4 linked regions of the Saccharomyces cerevisiae S288C genome follow. The gene in region 1 interacts genetically with each later gene. Each region holds a gene or a part of one and is shown on either strand. Other genes may lie near its edges.

Region 1 (3,572 bases):
ATAAGTGTATATTATACATAGCACAAGATGGATAATATTCTCTGAAAAAAACGTGTAGTTTCATGACTCGCATTTTTTTTTTTTTTTCTTTCATGTTGATTAACATACTTGAATTCTGTATTTAAGCTGTATAAAAAGTTGTTCTATTTCATATACGGCGATTTTGCATAATTAAGAACTTTGCCTTGTACACTATTTTACTAGGGTATTCTTCCAAGATTTCTCTTCTTATTTTTTCCCTTTATAAGTCATTGTAGCAACATAATTTCCTGGAAATTTTAAGGGAATATATTTCTTTCCGCCCACAAACACAAAGGGCGTTTAGTAAATTATGCGGCGATGTATAAAAGAGAAAGCAGGCAAAAAGAAAATGAAAAATGAGACTATGAACTTTAAGAATTATGTCTTGACTAATTTTTTAAAACCCATCATCCATGAAGAGTTCTGTTTGTATTGTTTACGTTTGATGTTTGAAGTGAATTTAATAGAATTGTTCCTCTTTTTTTCTTCTTTTTTTAACTATAATATAATGTTTAGTATATCAACAGTACTATTTAGGCCTTAGACTTTCTATGAACTCTCTCTTACTCTGTGAGTAGTTGGTAAATTCGTTTTCGTATTGATCTTCCTCAGCAATTTCCCCGATATTGCCCACATCATAGTTATTCTGTAATTTGTATAAATCCTTATCTTTATCTGTTATTGCAGACCTGCTATCCTTTACCGAGTGGTCAGCATCCATTCCTTCGTTATCTTTATCAAAAGTGTTTGGTAACTGTGATTGAGCCGCACTTTTGGGTGTTGCAAACACATCCTCTAGGGCATCGCGCTTATTTACCGATGTTATAGAGGAATTCCTTGTATGGAAGGACGCGTTTGAAATGTTACCATTTAAAAACGAGGATGAAGCTCTCCTTGGGTAATACGAACCAAAGTCCTGATTCTGCAAATTTCTTATCAGATTTTCATTACTAGATTGGCGAGTATTATGTTTAAGTTCTATCATCGAAGCTTTGTTTTGGTCATTGCTAGTATTAGTATCACTGGAAGGATCTGCGAAAAAGTTTGGTCCTTCATCAGAAATAACAGGGACCATCTGATCATAAACGCTGATCTGTCTCTTTGTTATATGCCGTTGGGAAGATGATAAGGAAACATTGGAGCTGTTATTTATACTTGGTAAATCCACAACGGACTTCTGCCTGGCATTATTGCCGTAGTTATTATTTCGTACTTGAAGTAAATTTATTTTCCTACGGTATGCTGGCACATAGTATTTACTATTCTTTTTCCCTAACGGTTTCTCTTGATCTCGCGATTTTCCATCTTTTTCTTCTGGATGAGCAGATCCTTCCGATGAACCAGAAGTGTGATCAGGATTTTTTAGCTCGGAGCTGGCTAGTGCTGCTTCATCTTTACTGTCTCTTAAGGGTCCAAAATTGTCAAAGGACACGAAACCACTTTCATCATAAATAGCCCTTTCCAATTCTCTATCGTCTTGTTCCTCCCTCTTGTATCTTTTTTGTAGGTTAAACCAGAAACATACTGCTATTATAATACCTACACCGACGGGTATACCCACCGCACAACCCACCGCAACTGATGTGCTGGCAGTCATCTCTTTTACTTCTTACTACGATGAGCTCCCAAAAAAAAAATATATCCCTGATAAATAACACAAAACTAAGAAGCCGGACCTAGGTGAAGAGTAAAATAAGGACTCGAAATTTTGTCTAATACTCAATAACTCAGTACAAAAACTGCCTCACAGTATAAAATATCCAACTTAGAGATATTCGTTTTAATTGTCCCGAGCAGGCAAACGATAACTGATCCTTAGTCACAATAATAAGTCTATGCTTTCTGTTGAAAAAGAACAAATAGCGAGCGAGTCAGCAAGCAGAATCTAAAGAGGCTTGCAACGAATGGTAGGCAAAGAATTTCTAACCCGAAACCTCAAGCGAATGGTGGATTCCTTACTTCCAATCTTCTAAAAGTCTTTAACTCTGATTTCGAGGATCAGTACTTTTTCTATGGTTTATTAATATCGGCCTCGAAAAGTTTGTCGCGAGAATTTGGGCACATGTGACCCGGAATGTATATTGAGTAATATAAGAATGAGAACAATAATGTCAATAATCACACGTCGTTATAAGCAGCTGAAAAATTATAAGATAATATCAAAAAAAATGCTACAGATCAACTCCAGGCTTGCAGTTATTGATGGATGGCTGGTAGACACTGTGAAGCGAAAACCAATAAATTTTCGGAGTCCTGAAGTAAGATTACTGTTACCCAATGACGATGACTACAAAAAGCTATCACAACAAAACTTGGTGGACTGGACGCGATTAAAGAAGGATTCTAATTCGGTGCTCGTTGGAGTGAAATCTATGGAACTATTTAAACACATAAAGCTAGTTTTGCGAGAGTTTTTCTTGTTAGAAGATGGAAGAATAATTCTGAAGAGGATCAGAAGCAAATTACGTTACAAAGTTGTCAAGAAATTAACTTGTAAATGCTGCAGGTTATATTTACCAAAATGGGGCACCGTGTACATACATCCGATGCTAAAAGATAAAGAAAAGCCCTTAGCGGGGGTATGTGAATTTTCATTGGATGTAAACCCTGATCGGGAGTATCCCCTTATTGAGATCAATGTTAGTCATCAATACATTATAATTGAGGGCTTCCTTCTATACTTAAATGAAAGGAGGCTCTATAGGTGGAACGATAACAATTTGAGGAGTCAGGTTGGCTTAACAAAATGGGCCCATTTAAGAAAAACTTACAATCCGGTAAGCCTTGACATACTTTATAGTTTGAATTCAAATTTTTATTTTGTAAAGGATGATCTGCTATTTCAATTATTAGGAAAGAGGGTATTTGTTAAATTTTGTAAAGTAATGGAAAATGGAAAATGCGGTAAGGCTCCACTGTGGTATCGTGTGAAGAGAACGACAACTGCCAAAGCAACACATATTGCATATGCCATATCAAATTCAACAGCCCCAGATTCATTCAAAAGTAAAAATAACGATTATAGGTTTATTGTCAGGGAAAAGCCAATTGTGGAGAATACTATCTCCAACCTGGATTATTCAGACATAAAAAAACAGCAGTTTACTGAAGCAGAGGTTGTAAAAAGAAAGATCTCAGCAGATATTTCTCAAATAGAGAATGTGCATACGCAATTTAATAGTCAAAAGGAAAAAAATAATATCAGGGTGAATAAGGTTTCTAGCGAGGTCCTAGATCAAATTTCGAAATTTCCTGTGTCCAGAGTCACCTTACTGTTGATGTCTGCTGGTCAAGATAAAAATTATATTGAACTTGTTGAAGAATTGGCAAGAAGGTTGGAAAAAATATGCATAGAAAAAACCACACAATCTTTAGAAGAGATAAGGGATACTTTTCAGGCGAATCCTGAGATGCAGGCTAGCTTTGATAAGGAATATTACCAGAGCATTGAAGAATATAAAATTACACTCGAACTTATTAAGGAAGACCTTTTGATTACTCTGATAAAACAAATGGAAAATATGTGGGCAGCTGAAAAAAAGTTTAGTACA
Region 2 (3,199 bases), on another chromosome or scaffold:
GGCACTGCTGGGGAACGTGAGAATGAGAATGAAAGCAACGTTAAGCCTGAAAACCAATTTAAGGAAGACGAGGTTGATATGTCAGATTCGGATATAAATGGGTCTAATTCACCAAGTTTCTGCCTCTTGGATATTCAAGGCAATACCTGCACGTTATACATTTATTTATACGTTAATGGAGAAGTGAAGGTCGATAAAGTGGTTTATGAAAAGGAATAGGGTAGCCATTTTCATTTTTATGCATTTCTATGATGTCTAAACATTAGATGCATTCGTGAACTTTTTCTTGCAGACGAGATAGATGTAATTAAGATATCCTATCTGCCGGATATTACATATATAAAAAAAGAAAGCTTGCATGCACAGTTTCCTTACTATTCATGCTCACACAATTCTACCGAATTAGCACTGCAGTGTTTAGAACCGTGCTCAAAAAGAGCTAACAGAGCTTGTGAAGAAGCCTGGATGAAAATATACTACGTTTATATAGGTTGATTTAATTATACAATGATATCATTTACGCCTTGCTTAATGATATCCTCTAGTAGATCGCTTTCTAGATCGTCTTCTAGTTTTTCCTCATTCTCTTTCAAACGGCGATGGGTGAAGTTGCTTATCTGCAACTCCTCTAATTTTAAAACCTTCTTCATGGCGTATGCATCTTCACCATCCTGATAGTAGCTTTTCTCGATACTCAACACCTCAAACGCCAATGTGTCCCTGTACAAGTGTAAAGCTGCTCTATTAGATTGTCTCACATGCAAGGAAACATATTCCGCTTGATGAACTTCTCTCAACGCAAATAAAGCTTGTCTCATTAAGTTTTCGGCAATCCCCATCCTTCTATAGGTTCTCATGACACTTAAGGAAGTAATATGACCATTTGGTGGCTCGTTTTGCTGGTCGGGGTCGTCGTTCATCTTCACGAGAACGTATCCAACTAATTTTTCGCCCGGAGCCAAGTATGTTGGATCCAACTTGATTGTCCTGCCGTCATTGGTCCCATCTAAGGTCAATTCCAATTTGTCGTTCTCATCTTGTTCATCACTATCTTCACAGTCCAAAGTGGTGGTAGTAGCAACAAACGAAGCCTCTGGCCACGAGAGAATATGATACATATAATATTTCATCATATAATTTTCGGGTAGGTTATGAAGGTTGGCATTTTGCATACATATAATGTCATTGATTGTCGCTCTGCGAATATTAATAGGCATGGTTGACGAAGTTTTATTTTGGAGCTTGATCGTATGTATTTAGGTTTCCCTTTTCACTTGGCAATTACTCGTTGCTGACAAAAGGTTTCAAACTTTTCAGACGGTGCTTTTTTTTTCTGTTCAAAAAACCAATTGACGCGAGAAAGTGAGGATTGAGCCTAGAGATCAATAAAGACAAATTAGCATTGGATGCAATACTACTAAAGCAAGCGCTTTAAGAGAAAATATTTGTCCTGGAAGTCTCATGGAGATTATACTTTATGAATTCTTTATCTCCGGGCAGAAGGCACTTCAGCGTATCATTTGTTCCATGATATTTTCTGAATAAACTTCAGAATTATAATACACAGTATTTACACATCTAATTTTTGACTACAGTATAATATTCAAGCTTCTTGATTTACCTGCAGTTATGCTTAAATTCACATTTGAATTCTTTAGTATCCGTTTAGCTAGTTAGTACCTTTGCACGGAAATGTATTAATTAGGAGTATATTGAGAAATAGCCGCCGACAAAAAGGAAGTCTCATAAAAGTGTCTAACAGACAATTAGCGCAATAAGAAGAAAGAAAACGGATTGAAGTTGAGTCGAGAATAATTATGGCACCCAGAAAACGCTTTAGGCTACTCGAATTAGGGTCACCAACACATTCTAAAAGGAAAGTTCAAAAACCTCTTCAAGAGAAGACCCCAAACTTGCGAGTTTCTCCACTTGCTTTTAAAATTGGTAAAGAAATCAAGAATAAGGAAATCAGAAAAACAAAAAAAACAGAATCAGAAAATATATTCAATTCGAAACATGTCGATTTAAGACTAGAAAGCCCACATCCAGGATTAAATTTTGTAAGTGATGCTCAACAGTACTCAAAGGCTGGAGATGTTCGATATTTGAAAAATAAATCAAGCAATACCTTGAAAAACGAAAGACAAACAATAGAGCGCCCCTCATTTGATAATTCCTTAAGGTTCGAGGACATTGAGCAGCCTCCAAAATCTACTTCAACGCCGGTTCTTTCTCAATCTTCTCAAATAAATGTAGAAAGAGAAGCACCCATGTTTCCAGTTCCTTACTATATTGCTCCTTCTCCTATGTATAATTTTAGCCCGTATCAAAATTTCGTTGGAAACCCAACGTTCCTGACGCCAAGTCATAACCCAAACCTAAACTATGCCATTCCCATCCAACGGCCGGAGTTGCTTTATCCGAATGTTAACGTATACGATTCGCCATTGTTTAAGAAAACAAGACTGCCCCATCAGACCAAAAGTCTAGATAAAGAAAAAAATTACCAATATCTTCCAATATATCCGGTCTCGATTTCTAATAACGGAGATTTTGTTGGCCAAGAGACACCAAGGGCAGCACCAAAGTTAAGTAAAAAGAGACTTTCAAATACATTGGATGTTAATTGTTCCGATTATGAGTCTAGTGGACAAAATGCAACTTATAATGATAGTGAGTCTTCCCTTAATTAAAAAGATTAGTTTACTTTTTCTGTAGAATGTTAATTAGTTTATTGCATAGAAAATCTTTAATACTGAATGACAAAATTTCCACAATTTTTTTTAAAAAAATTATCGACAACTGCAGGACTCGAACCTGCGCGGGCAAAGCCCAAAAGATTTCTAATCTTTCGCCTTAACCACTCGGCCAAGTTGCCACTTATTATATAAGTCGTAAGCATAATATCAGGATCTTATGCCTTAGTATAAGTCAATTGAAATTGCAATCCTTGTATGTTTTATATTAAATTTTGGGTGAATAATTGGATAATTGTTTGAAATCCATTGTTGAAGAAAGGCTATAATATTCGTACACAGAGTATACTAGAAGTTCTTCTCGAGGGTCTTGGAATCCACAAAAAGGCGTCGATAAATCTCCATAACTATATTACTTTATCCTATTACATTATCAATTCTTGCTTTTAGCTTCTATTGTATTTGATAAAATATTTCGGCTTCTTTTATGTGTATGCGATTGC
Region 3 (4,396 bases), 570 kb from region 1:
ATCAGGACGTCTCGAGAGCTGATATCAAATTTGAAGCCACGCAAGTAACTACGTAGGTCAGAGGGCACAAGGAATAACACGTGACATTTTTCTTTTTTCTTTTTTTTTTTTTTTTTTTTTTTTGTTAGTCTTGGCTTCTGTGCCGTAGTCTGTATACGGTTTTAGATGCGGTATGTTTATCATCGCCCAGAAATTTGCGGGGTGCAAAGAAATAAAATCCGTGCTGAAACCCGTGCTGAAATCCGTGCACCGCATCAAATTTTCTCGGAGGATTCTTTGCGCCGGTTTTCATTTTCTTCCACGGAATACCAAGCCCATTGCATCGCGATGTTAGTTTAGCGGAGTTTCTTGGCATTGGCAAATCTCTGCTAAATGCTGCGTACAGACGGAAACTCACACCGCCGCGAAGACTGGTCAGTGGCAAAAAAAAAATAAAAATATAGAAAATAACTATTACGTATGTTACTGTTTCTGGTAGTTGATATGAAGTTGGAGTTGTATATTGTACGCTTTAGGAACAGGGAAGTGAATATTATTTACTCTGCTGCACATTCTGGCTAGGTCGAAGCCGGAACTTGAGAAGACGCCGCGCTAGAACTATGGACCAAGCTGTTGACAATGTTCAGATGGTGATGCACTACCCTGTGCGGGGAGTGGCCACGGACGCGAGCGGAAGGTGCGGAAGGTGCGGAAGGTGCGGGAGTTGCGGGAGGTTCTTCGCTAAGCGTGAGGGTTGCTAGCTGGGGCGGCGGGGTTTCCCTAAGTGTAAATAAGGCCTCGGCTGGCACATGAGTCGCCGGAGGAGGCGGCGGAGGCGACGACGCTAAAACCGTGGCCGTTGGGGAAGGATGGGCGGCTATATCTACCATTGACCTGATGGGGACTCGGTTCTTAAGGAATGGGTTTGAGGTGGGTGTGGTTGCAGCAACATCTGTAGCGATATGGAAACCCCGCGGATTCTCGTACGTAGTGGTTTTGATAATAGGTTTCTTACACACATATTTGTCGTTGGCATCAACACAAGTCTCAATTCCTTGGAACCATGGGTCTTCGAAGAGGTCGTCGATGGTGTAGCGGGTGGCGGCTTCTGGGTCAGCGAGCCGCCATGCCACGCGAGATGCATGTCCGTTCTTGAAATTTCTAGCCAAGTGATACTCCATTCCCGGCCCCGGGCGGTAATTGCCGCGATTGCGGAATGCGCGATCGTGAAGACGGATAAAGTTTTCATAAGCGTCACAGTAATCGCGGAAACCAGTGTCGAAGCTGCAGGATTCCAAAAATGGAATGACGTTGTTGACGAGGGTCATGAGGATAATACCCAGGCCATAACAGTCTAGAGCGCGTGGGTCATACGGCTGTTGCAATTCCGTATCGTAGTGCTTCTTGGAGTCGTAGAACATGACCTCCGGGGGAGCATACGGCGGCGAGCCGATCATCCCTGCGCACTTCTTGACAGGGCTGGACAGGTCGTGTGGATCCGTGTGGTACCAGTCTGAGATACCAAAATCTGTCAGCTTGCACACGCCGTCCGGGGATAGCAGTACATTTTCCGGTTTCAAATCACGGTGGGCGATGCCCTGATCGTGGCAAAACTTGACACCACACGCCACCTGTTTGAATATACAAAACTTTTCTGCTAGGGCCACGCTGCGCCAGCCCGATTTTTGTATCATCGCGAACAAATCTCGTAGACCTAGCTCCATGACGAACCCCCACCCGCGAGTGGTGTAGACGGTGGTGGGCACCTTGACTAGAAGGAAAGTATTTGTGATGTGAACATGATGACTTAGCTGCTTTGCGATGATAAACTCCTTTGAGCAGCGCTTGTAGAATTTCTCGGGCGTTTCATTATAGATCATATTGAGCTTCTTTAGAGCAAATACGTCCTTCTTGCGGTACTTGGAGCGGATCTTGCGCACTTCGCACGAACCGCCCCATCCGATGGTCTTATTCTCATCATCAAAGACGAAGTTATCGCTCAACTGGATGCTTGCCTCCTTCATCTCGTCGGGCAGATACTCGTTTGGGTCCACAATTGGGATCGGCAGCATGCGGATTTTGGAATCCCCATCGTGAAGGTAGAAGCCCAGATCAGGGTCTTTCTTCATGGAGGTAGAGACGGACGAGAGTGACGTGCTTGGGGTTGAGACGCCGTATGGATTGTACACTAATCGTTCGCTACTGAACTTGGAGTTTGAGAGATTACGCGAAGTGGACGAATGTCTGTTTCCTCTTGAGATGGACGTGCTGGAGCCGGCCGGAGGTAGGATCTTGGTTGAGGCGGAAGATAAAGATCTCTTGCTGTTGGTTGTGTGAGCGAAAGAGTTTGCACGGCGAGAGGTTTTCAACGAATTCGGCAGTTTTGGGCTGGAGGATTCGCTGTCATTAGTACTTGTAGAGTGGAAGTCTGGAGGTAGAGACGCCTTTTTCTTCAACTTGTTCCCATGGCTTGAACTTAACAGCTTCTTTCCGAAGAACTTAAATGCTGATACCGAGGAGATTGGTTGTTGGGATATCTTCGTAGAATGATTGTGTGAGACTGTCATTGGTTGGTGGTGCGATTTAATGCGTATGCTTGCCTGTGGCGTTAAAATGGTCTATACGTTTATGCTAATATTTCTTGATGTAATGCAGGGCCTATGAATACATGGAGGTTTGTTGCCGGTGGTATACGGTTGAAAAAAAAAAGAAATAGATATATATATATTTCTTCTTTGTATAGACTTCTGCGAGAAAAAGAAAAGATAAGGAAAAATGAAAAAAAAAGCGTATAGGTGCTAAGAAGAATTAAGTATCAAAAGGTAGCAGGCATTTATGTTATATATGCAACTTCGGATTTCGTTCAATACATCTTGACCGGTCTCCACTGTTACTGGCATATTTCTCGGGTTTTTCCTTTTCACCACAAGGGAAAAAAAATGCGTTATGTAATTTCACCAATATTTTTCCCGTCCTGCGTGCTCGCACAATACAATAGGGTCATGTCACGTAATAAGCAACGTGCGCCGCATTTTTTGCCCTTTAAAGGGAAACGCGCTTTGTTCTTTTCTTCTTCCTTTTCACATAAGGGAGAGTCGGCTACCAATGTCGATGGAATTCTCACCATTGGGCATCTCACCGTTCCTATCCTTCTGGAACCTATCGTAAATCCCCCTTAATTTGACCAACTCACTTGTTGAAATACTAGGTTTTGTCTCTTGACAGGCTTCCAATAAATCGTTTATTGTGACCACAGCTGTCAGCTCAGAAGCAGCTGAAGTGCTTGTCTTTGTCTCGTGCACCACATCTTGCTGCAATAGAGTCTTTAGCCGTAGTCTATTTTCTTCTCTACGCCCGTGCTCATTGATACTGAAGTATTCTATATTATCATTGCCGGGTACCACTTCCGATTGGTCTGCAGCAGACAGCCACCTATGTACAGATTTCAAATAAGCATTGTAGCAGAGCCCCTGTAAATCAGCACCCGAAAAACCAGCTGTCTTTTCAGCGATCAACTTCAAGTCTGCATTTTTCTCCAATGCAAATTTTTTTTGTCCCGTATCCTTGTCTTTTGAATTGACGATAGCTTGCAAGATATCTAACCTCTCTGATTCAGTCGGTATATTACAGATCACACTTTTGTCTAATCTTCCCGGTCTTAACAATGCGCTATCAATCAAATCAGGTCTACTTGTAGCTGCTAGTATATATACACCATCAAGGCCCTCGGCACCATCCATTTGGGTCAATAATTGATTGACTACACGGTCTGTGACACCAGTGGAGTCATGCCCTCTCTTTGGCGCAATAGAATCGAACTCGTCAAAAAATAGAATACAGGGTTTGACGGACTGTGCCCTTTCAAACAATTCTCTTATGTTTTGTTCGCTGGCACCTATAAACTTGTTTAAAATCTCTGGTCCCTTAACGGAGATAAAGTTTAACCCACATTGTTGTGCCACGGCGCTCGCCAGAAGCGTTTTACCACAACCAGGATAACCGTAAAGCAAGATTCCTGATCTCAATCTTAGGGGACAATTAACGAAAATAGGCTCATATTTTGTGGGCCACTCTAAGGTTTCTAGAAGGACATCTTTGGCATTTGCTAAAGCACCAATATCCCCCCATTTGATGTTCGTTTCTTTTGTTAGCTTTACTCCACGCAACGCAGATGGTGTAAACGCACTAAGCGACTTCGAAAAAAGTTCCCTTGTTACAACATTATCACAATCTCTTTCCAACTGCAAGTCGTAGAAAATCTTTTCTGTGAATATTTCCAAATCTAGTGGCGAAAATCCTTCTGTCTCCAACGACAAATCACTGAATTGCAAATCTCGATTTAGTTTCATGATCTGGTTTTTCGAGAAAAAATACTCCAGTAACTTCGCTCTTGCATGTTTGTCAGGTGCTCTCAAAG
Region 4 (6,112 bases), on another chromosome or scaffold:
CCCGGACAATTTCTTCAACAATGTTCATTCATCTTTAGTTTAATGAGGGATTTATAAGGTGAAAGCCAGTAGTAAAAGTGTATTTAACCCCTTTAAATTATCGCAAACTGTGCCTAGCAGTTCAGGAGTTATTTTTGGTATACTTTTGGAGCACGATTCATAACCTCATGTAAGAAATAATAATCAATCTTCGTGTATTTTTAAAATAATAATCCTTAACAACGACCTCTTACATAAATTTGTAGTTCAACATCGACAATTGTTAGCATCAAAAAGGATCCCTTAAGTTTAAGTTTACATAATTAATCTGCGTACCGTACATATATGAAAAGAACCAATATTAACTACTCTGTATGAAAAATGAATTAACCTAGAAAACAAAAAAGGAAGGAGAGCGTCATATGCTTGTCCTAAATTCTATCAACGTAGTAAACTCCATTTGAGGAGTGAATTAAAGAAAAAAGATGGAGTGAAACAAACGAAGTTAGCGAAGATAAAACACTAGCCAGTAGGCTTTCAATCTTCTTCATCGTCAGTATCAACTGGTTTTGGTGTACCTTTTGGCGATGACAACCACTCAATGTAACGTAGACGACGACGTTCGGCTTGCAGCTTCTTTTCATTTCTTGTCAATCTCTTCTTTCTTTGCTTGACCTTGATGTTAGCTGGAGAATCATCGTCATCTACAGATGGCTTGGCCAAGTTGGAGGCCTTTAGACCAACGGCATCAGCATTACCACCATCTTCGAATTTGGATTGGTCAACTTGTGCAGAGCCCTTTTGAACCATTTTACCGTTCTCCACAATCCATTGTTCAGGACATAAAGCACCAACAAATTCGTTATTATGCGAAATCATAACGACACCACCACTCCAGTCACGAATAGCAACGGCCAAAGCACCAAGAGAGTCTCTGTCCAAATAGTTGGTAGGTTCATCCAAAACAAGTAAATGAGGGTTGTTCCACATAGCACCGGCAATAACGACTTTAACTAATTGACCACCAGATAAAGAACCTAATGGAGTATGGTTAGCAATTTCAGAATCAAGACCAACGTCTTCAAAATGTTTGGTGATAACTGAAGGAATTAATTCACGGTAACCCAACCCTTCTCTGGAGGCTTCGTGATCGTCGAATTTTTGAACCAATTTTTCAAAGCCATGCTCGACCAAAACATCTTTTGGAACCCAGGAGTTGTATTTTGGTTTCCAGTATTTCCATTTGACCTCATATTGGAAAGATTTTTTCAACTTTTGTCTACCTACAATAGCTTCAATGGCTCTCTTACCTCTACCGTCATCAATGTCGATTTCCTTTGTCATCATTTCCTTTTCATCTTCGGATATTTTTCTGGATTCCTTCAATAAGACTTCACGGTCGTCACCGAATTGATAACGCCATTGCAAATATTGGTTTGCCGTCTTTTCCTTATGTTCATTGACGTGTTGCAATGCATGCTGAGCAATATAACCAATACGTAAATTTGGATGTTTTTCCACTTTACCTTCATTTGGAACCAATTCACCAGTTAATAGCTTGATCAAAGTGGATTTACCAGCACCGTTAGGACCTAAACAAGCCACACGAGAAGACAGAGACAATGAACAGGAGACATGGCTTAAGGAAGGCTTTTGGGCACCTGGATAAGAGAAAGTTACATCAGTCATTTTAGCGACGGCTCTAGTGTTAGACTTAACACCTGTTAAAATACCTGGGGGTGGGAAACGCATTTGAGCATTAGAATCTGTTAAGGTATAGTAAGATTTAGCTTCAGGTTTCTGCTCAACAAATGCTGCCAAGTTACCTTTGTAGTAAGCCAATTTCTTGTTTTCATAATGGATGATGTCAGTACAGACTGTATCTAAGAAACCAGAGTCATGCGAAACAATCAATGAAGTAATATCAGTATGTTCCAGTAAGTATTCTTCTAACCATTTAACGTTCGAAACATCTAAATGATTGGTAGGTTCATCCAGCAATAAAATATCAGCTTTTTGTAACATAGCTCTTGCCAATTCCAACTTCATTTTCCAACCACCAGATAAAGATCCAACAGTTTGTGCTCTTCTCTCTTCATCAAAACCGACAGATTCTAAAGCGGCTGCAATTTCCTCACGAGAAGTAGATTGCAGTTCTTCATCTAAAGCAATGAAGGAAACCAAGTCTAAATCACCTTCTTCACCTTGCAATTTATGTTCGACGAAACAGGTGCGTAATGTATCCTTGTCAGGAAAACCATCCAATTGACCATTAGCAATTGCTCTCATTAAAGTAGACTTACCAGCACCATTTCTACCACACAAACCGTAACGATGACCCTTTAGGAGACGAAGATTTGTTTTGTTCAAAAGCATTCTTGAACCATAAGCTAAGGAGAAATCAGTGTTGACAATCTCAATACCTTCGTCCTCATCTGCCCTTTCCTTTTCTTGGTAGAATAAAGCTCTCAAGTTATGGATAAAGTCTTGTTTGACAAATTCTCTTTGTGAATCTGAACCACCAAAAACGGCGGTCAAAAAATCTTCAAGTCTTTTCCAGTCGTTCACATTAGAATCCACGGTCAAAATCTTGCTCATATACTTGATAACAGTTTCGTCATTCATGTAAGGCTTGACAAAACAGGAATCATCAGCTTTAATGTCCTTGAGGTGATCAAGTAAGAAATCCCTACCTTCTTCTAAAGTCAGTCTGCCTGAGAATTTGTTTTCCTTATCAGCTTCGTCATCTTCTTTTAGAACGTTAAGGGCCTTTTCAGCCAATTCACGAACTTCAGGTAAGGACGCAGTATCAACAACCTTTTGGATACCGGGTAGTAGTAGAGGGATGAAGCTTTCAATTTCATTACGATTATTCACCAATCTTGTCAAATTCTCCACGACAATAACGGTTTGTCTTAATTGCTCTTGAGATGATGACGATAGGTTTAAAGATCTGTTTAGAATAGGAACTAACAAAGATAGTGAAGGTTCCGTAACTTCAGCGACAAATGTAACACTGGATAACGATTTTACAGATTCAGGAACCTTAGATGGATCTTGCAGGGTGTCCACGATCAATTTATAACGAGGAGACAAATCTAAGTTATCCAAAATAGAAACGTAGTCCAATAAAGTTTTGTAACCTTGTTTGGCCAATTCAGGTTTGAAATCAGTTGCTACATCGGTTAAAACTGGAACTGCATCTTTGAAAGTAAGTTCCAATAAATCGTTCGCCGAATCTTCTCTTATTCTATCTACAACGCTTAGAGCGGCCATTTTAGCTTGCCATTTGGCACCAGATGATAAGTAATCCAAAATCGTAGGCAGTACAAAACAGGTTAAAGCCTCCATTGGAAAGCAATTCAACAAAGAATCAATGGCATGTTGCGCGGCACGTTTGACTGTATTCTCTTTATCTGAAATACAGTCAAGTGCGACATTGAAGAATGGTAGCAAGTATGCTTCCTGTGGTGGCTTTCCACTGAAAAATTGAGCAATGTTGGAAATTATTAGCATGGCAGATTCTCTAACTAATGATGGATTCTTAGGTTTGATGAATTTAGATAGAACATCGACGATTTTCCACTCTTCAATTTTCTCACCCGTACTGTTACCTTCTTTGCCAAATTCTTCAATGATTAGTTTGATTTGATTTTTGCAATCAGTGATACTTTGACATTCAGGTATCTTTGACAAAAATTGAGAGATGGGTGTTAACTCTAAGTTCGACAGCTTTTCATTCAAAGAGGTCAAAGATGTAGTAGAAGCAGATGGAGTTGGAGTTCCACTTTGGTTGGGCGTCACAGCCGATTGTTTGTAAGTAGATTTTTGATAGCCCTGGCCATTGTATTTATTATAGTTATTGTAGTTGTTATAATTGTTGTAGTTGTTGTAGTTGTTGTAATTGTTGTAATTACTGTTATACGATTGGTAACCACCTTGTTGGTAGTTGCCCCCCTGTTTCCAATTACGCTGTTGTTGGTAGCTACTTTTTTTGGAAGCGTTATTACTACCGGCATCAGCAGCAGGGTTTTTAAAATAACCACCGAAGGGAGAAGCGACTAGATTTGGGTCCTTTGGTTGGTCGTCAAGGAAAGAGTTTAGATCCTTAAACTTCTTTGGAGGCATCCTGAGTTGAATTAGCACTGATTGTCGTTGTATTTACAGTTTACAAGATATAAATTATGCACTATAGATCGACGCATATGTATTATCTTAAATAGGTTGCAATATATTATTATTTTTTAACATTTATTGCGATGCTGCTGAAAATTTTTTTTCCACCTTGAAACTTTTCTTTTTCCATTGAAAAATTAGATGTGGTGTTTGGGTTTATTCCATTTGATCTTGTAACTTCTATACTAGTCACAACTAACAAGTCCAAAGTCAAGTGTACATAGTTATCCTATTTTCACCGTTATCACTTCAGTACCTTTTAATTTATATATATTAATGCACATGGCTCTGTTGTATCTTTCGAAGCAGTGTATGCCATTTTTTTCATGAGAAAGCGAAATTTGGCGTATTCGAAAAAAAGTGTAAACAAGAAGAAAACGTGCCAATTTTCAAGGCTTTATCGCAATTAAAGTGGCACAAAGGACCATAGTCACTGTGGAAAGGTAGTGGTATCTAATTGGATGCTGTAAGGATAGATTAGGTGCTTTTGATAACGTAAGAAAGGGACAAAAACAGAGAGGCAGCCAAAAATTACACAAAGCACAACAAAAATGAGAGCGTTGAGATTCCTGATTGAGAACAGAAACACTGTCTTTTTTACGCTCTTAGTAGCCTTGGTGCTTTCACTGTATTTATTGGTCTATTTATTTTCGCATACACCAAGGCCGCCATATCCAGAGGAGCTCAAATACATAGCTATTGATGAAAAAGGTCATGAAGTTAGTCGTGCCTTACCTAACTTGAATGAACACCAAGATGACGAAGAAATATTTTTATCTGTTGTTATCCCAAGCTATAATGAGACAGGTAGAATTTTACTAATGTTGACAGACGCAATCAGCTTTTTAAAGGAAAAATATGGTTCCAGATGGGAGATTGTCATAGTGGATGATGGTTCCACAGATAATACCACACAATACTGTTTGAAAATTTGTAAAGAACAGTTCAAATTGAACTACGAACAATTCAGAATCATCAAGTTTTCTCAAAACAGAGGCAAAGGTGGCGCAGTGAGACAAGGTTTTTTACATATTAGAGGTAAGTATGGTCTTTTTGCCGATGCTGATGGTGCTAGTAAGTTCAGTGATGTAGAAAAACTAATAGATGCTATTAGCAAAATTGAAACGTCTAGTACAGATCTAAAAACGACTAAACCAGCAGTAGCAATTGGTTCCAGAGCACATATGGTAAATACCGAAGCCGTCATAAAGAGATCAATGATAAGAAACTGCTTGATGTACGGTTTCCATACCTTAGTTTTCATCTTCGGCATCAGGTCTATCAAAGACACACAATGTGGATTCAAATTGTTCAACAGAGCCGCTATATTGAAAATTTTTCCGTATTTGCATACAGAGGGTTGGATCTTTGACGTTGAAATTTTGATCTTAGCCATCAGAAAAAGAATCCAAATTGAGGAGATACCAATTTCCTGGCATGAGGTTGATGGCTCTAAGATGGCTTTAGCTATTGATAGTATCAAAATGGCGAAAGACTTGGTTATTATAAGAATGGCCTATTTATTAGGGATATATAGAGATAATAAGAAATGTTAGAGTAATTATTTTTATGTTATTATTATCATTATTATTATTATTACATAAGCTTTCATAACAGCATTTGAGTAAACAAAAAAAATTTCTCGCTCAAGGGCATTTGCTTATTTTTTTTTGAAATGATTCAAATATTACATGACTTTCTTTGAACCTTCAAAAATTTCATATGATAAAGACGATAACTTTCTTCTAATAATTGTACCATTATTCAGAAACGTTCTAATAAGAGATGCATATTCTTTACTATCGTTCGTTATGTTATCAAAGGCGTTTAACAGTGCAGGCGTGTTGATTTCTAGTTCCACTTCGTGAGTGGTCTCTGATTGTCTACTTTTTGAATTTTGGTTATGATTTTCGACTTTTGTAATATCAATTCTGGTACAGGAATCATTATGAATGTA

What was found.
Region 2: mutations in SKG1 (region 1) and ARD1 together harm fitness more than expected from each alone (negative genetic interaction), as found in Saccharomyces cerevisiae (3 studies listed by BioGRID, with this or other methods).
Region 3: mutations in SKG1 (region 1) and PTK1 together harm fitness more than expected from each alone (negative genetic interaction), as found in Saccharomyces cerevisiae (2 studies listed by BioGRID).
Region 4: mutations in SKG1 (region 1) and NEW1 together harm fitness more than expected from each alone (negative genetic interaction), as found in Saccharomyces cerevisiae (2 studies listed by BioGRID).

The regions. Positions count from the first base shown.
Region 1 is NC_001143.9:638,351-641,922, forward strand, and holds SKG1 (Skg1p), read right to left. Parts: upstream 1,619-3,572; coding exon 551-1,618; downstream 1-550. Other genes in the region: SIR1 (Sir1p), read left to right, coding at 2,190-3,572.
Region 2 is NC_001140.6:130,230-133,428, forward strand, and holds ARD1 (peptide alpha-N-acetyltransferase complex A subunit ARD1), read right to left. Parts: upstream 1,218-3,199; coding exon 501-1,217; downstream 1-500. Other genes in the region: retromer subunit VPS29, read left to right, coding at 1-219; SPO13 (Spo13p), read left to right, coding at 1,818-2,693. UniProt on the Saccharomyces cerevisiae protein: Catalytic component of the NatA N-terminal acetyltransferase, which catalyzes acetylation of proteins beginning with Met-Ser, Met-Gly and Met-Ala.
Region 3 is NC_001143.9:67,675-72,070, forward strand, and holds PTK1 (putative serine/threonine protein kinase PTK1), read right to left. Parts: upstream 2,547-4,396; coding exon 558-2,546; downstream 1-557. Other genes in the region: PEX1 (AAA family ATPase peroxin 1), read right to left, coding at 3,060-4,396. UniProt on the Saccharomyces cerevisiae protein: Essential determinant for low-affinity spermidine transport.
Region 4 is NC_001148.4:119,762-125,873, reverse strand, and holds NEW1 (New1p), read right to left. Parts: upstream 4,108-6,112; coding exon 517-4,107; downstream 1-516. Other genes in the region: ALG5 (dolichyl-phosphate beta-glucosyltransferase), read left to right, coding at 4,707-5,711; CET1 (polynucleotide 5'-phosphatase), read right to left, coding at 5,843-6,112.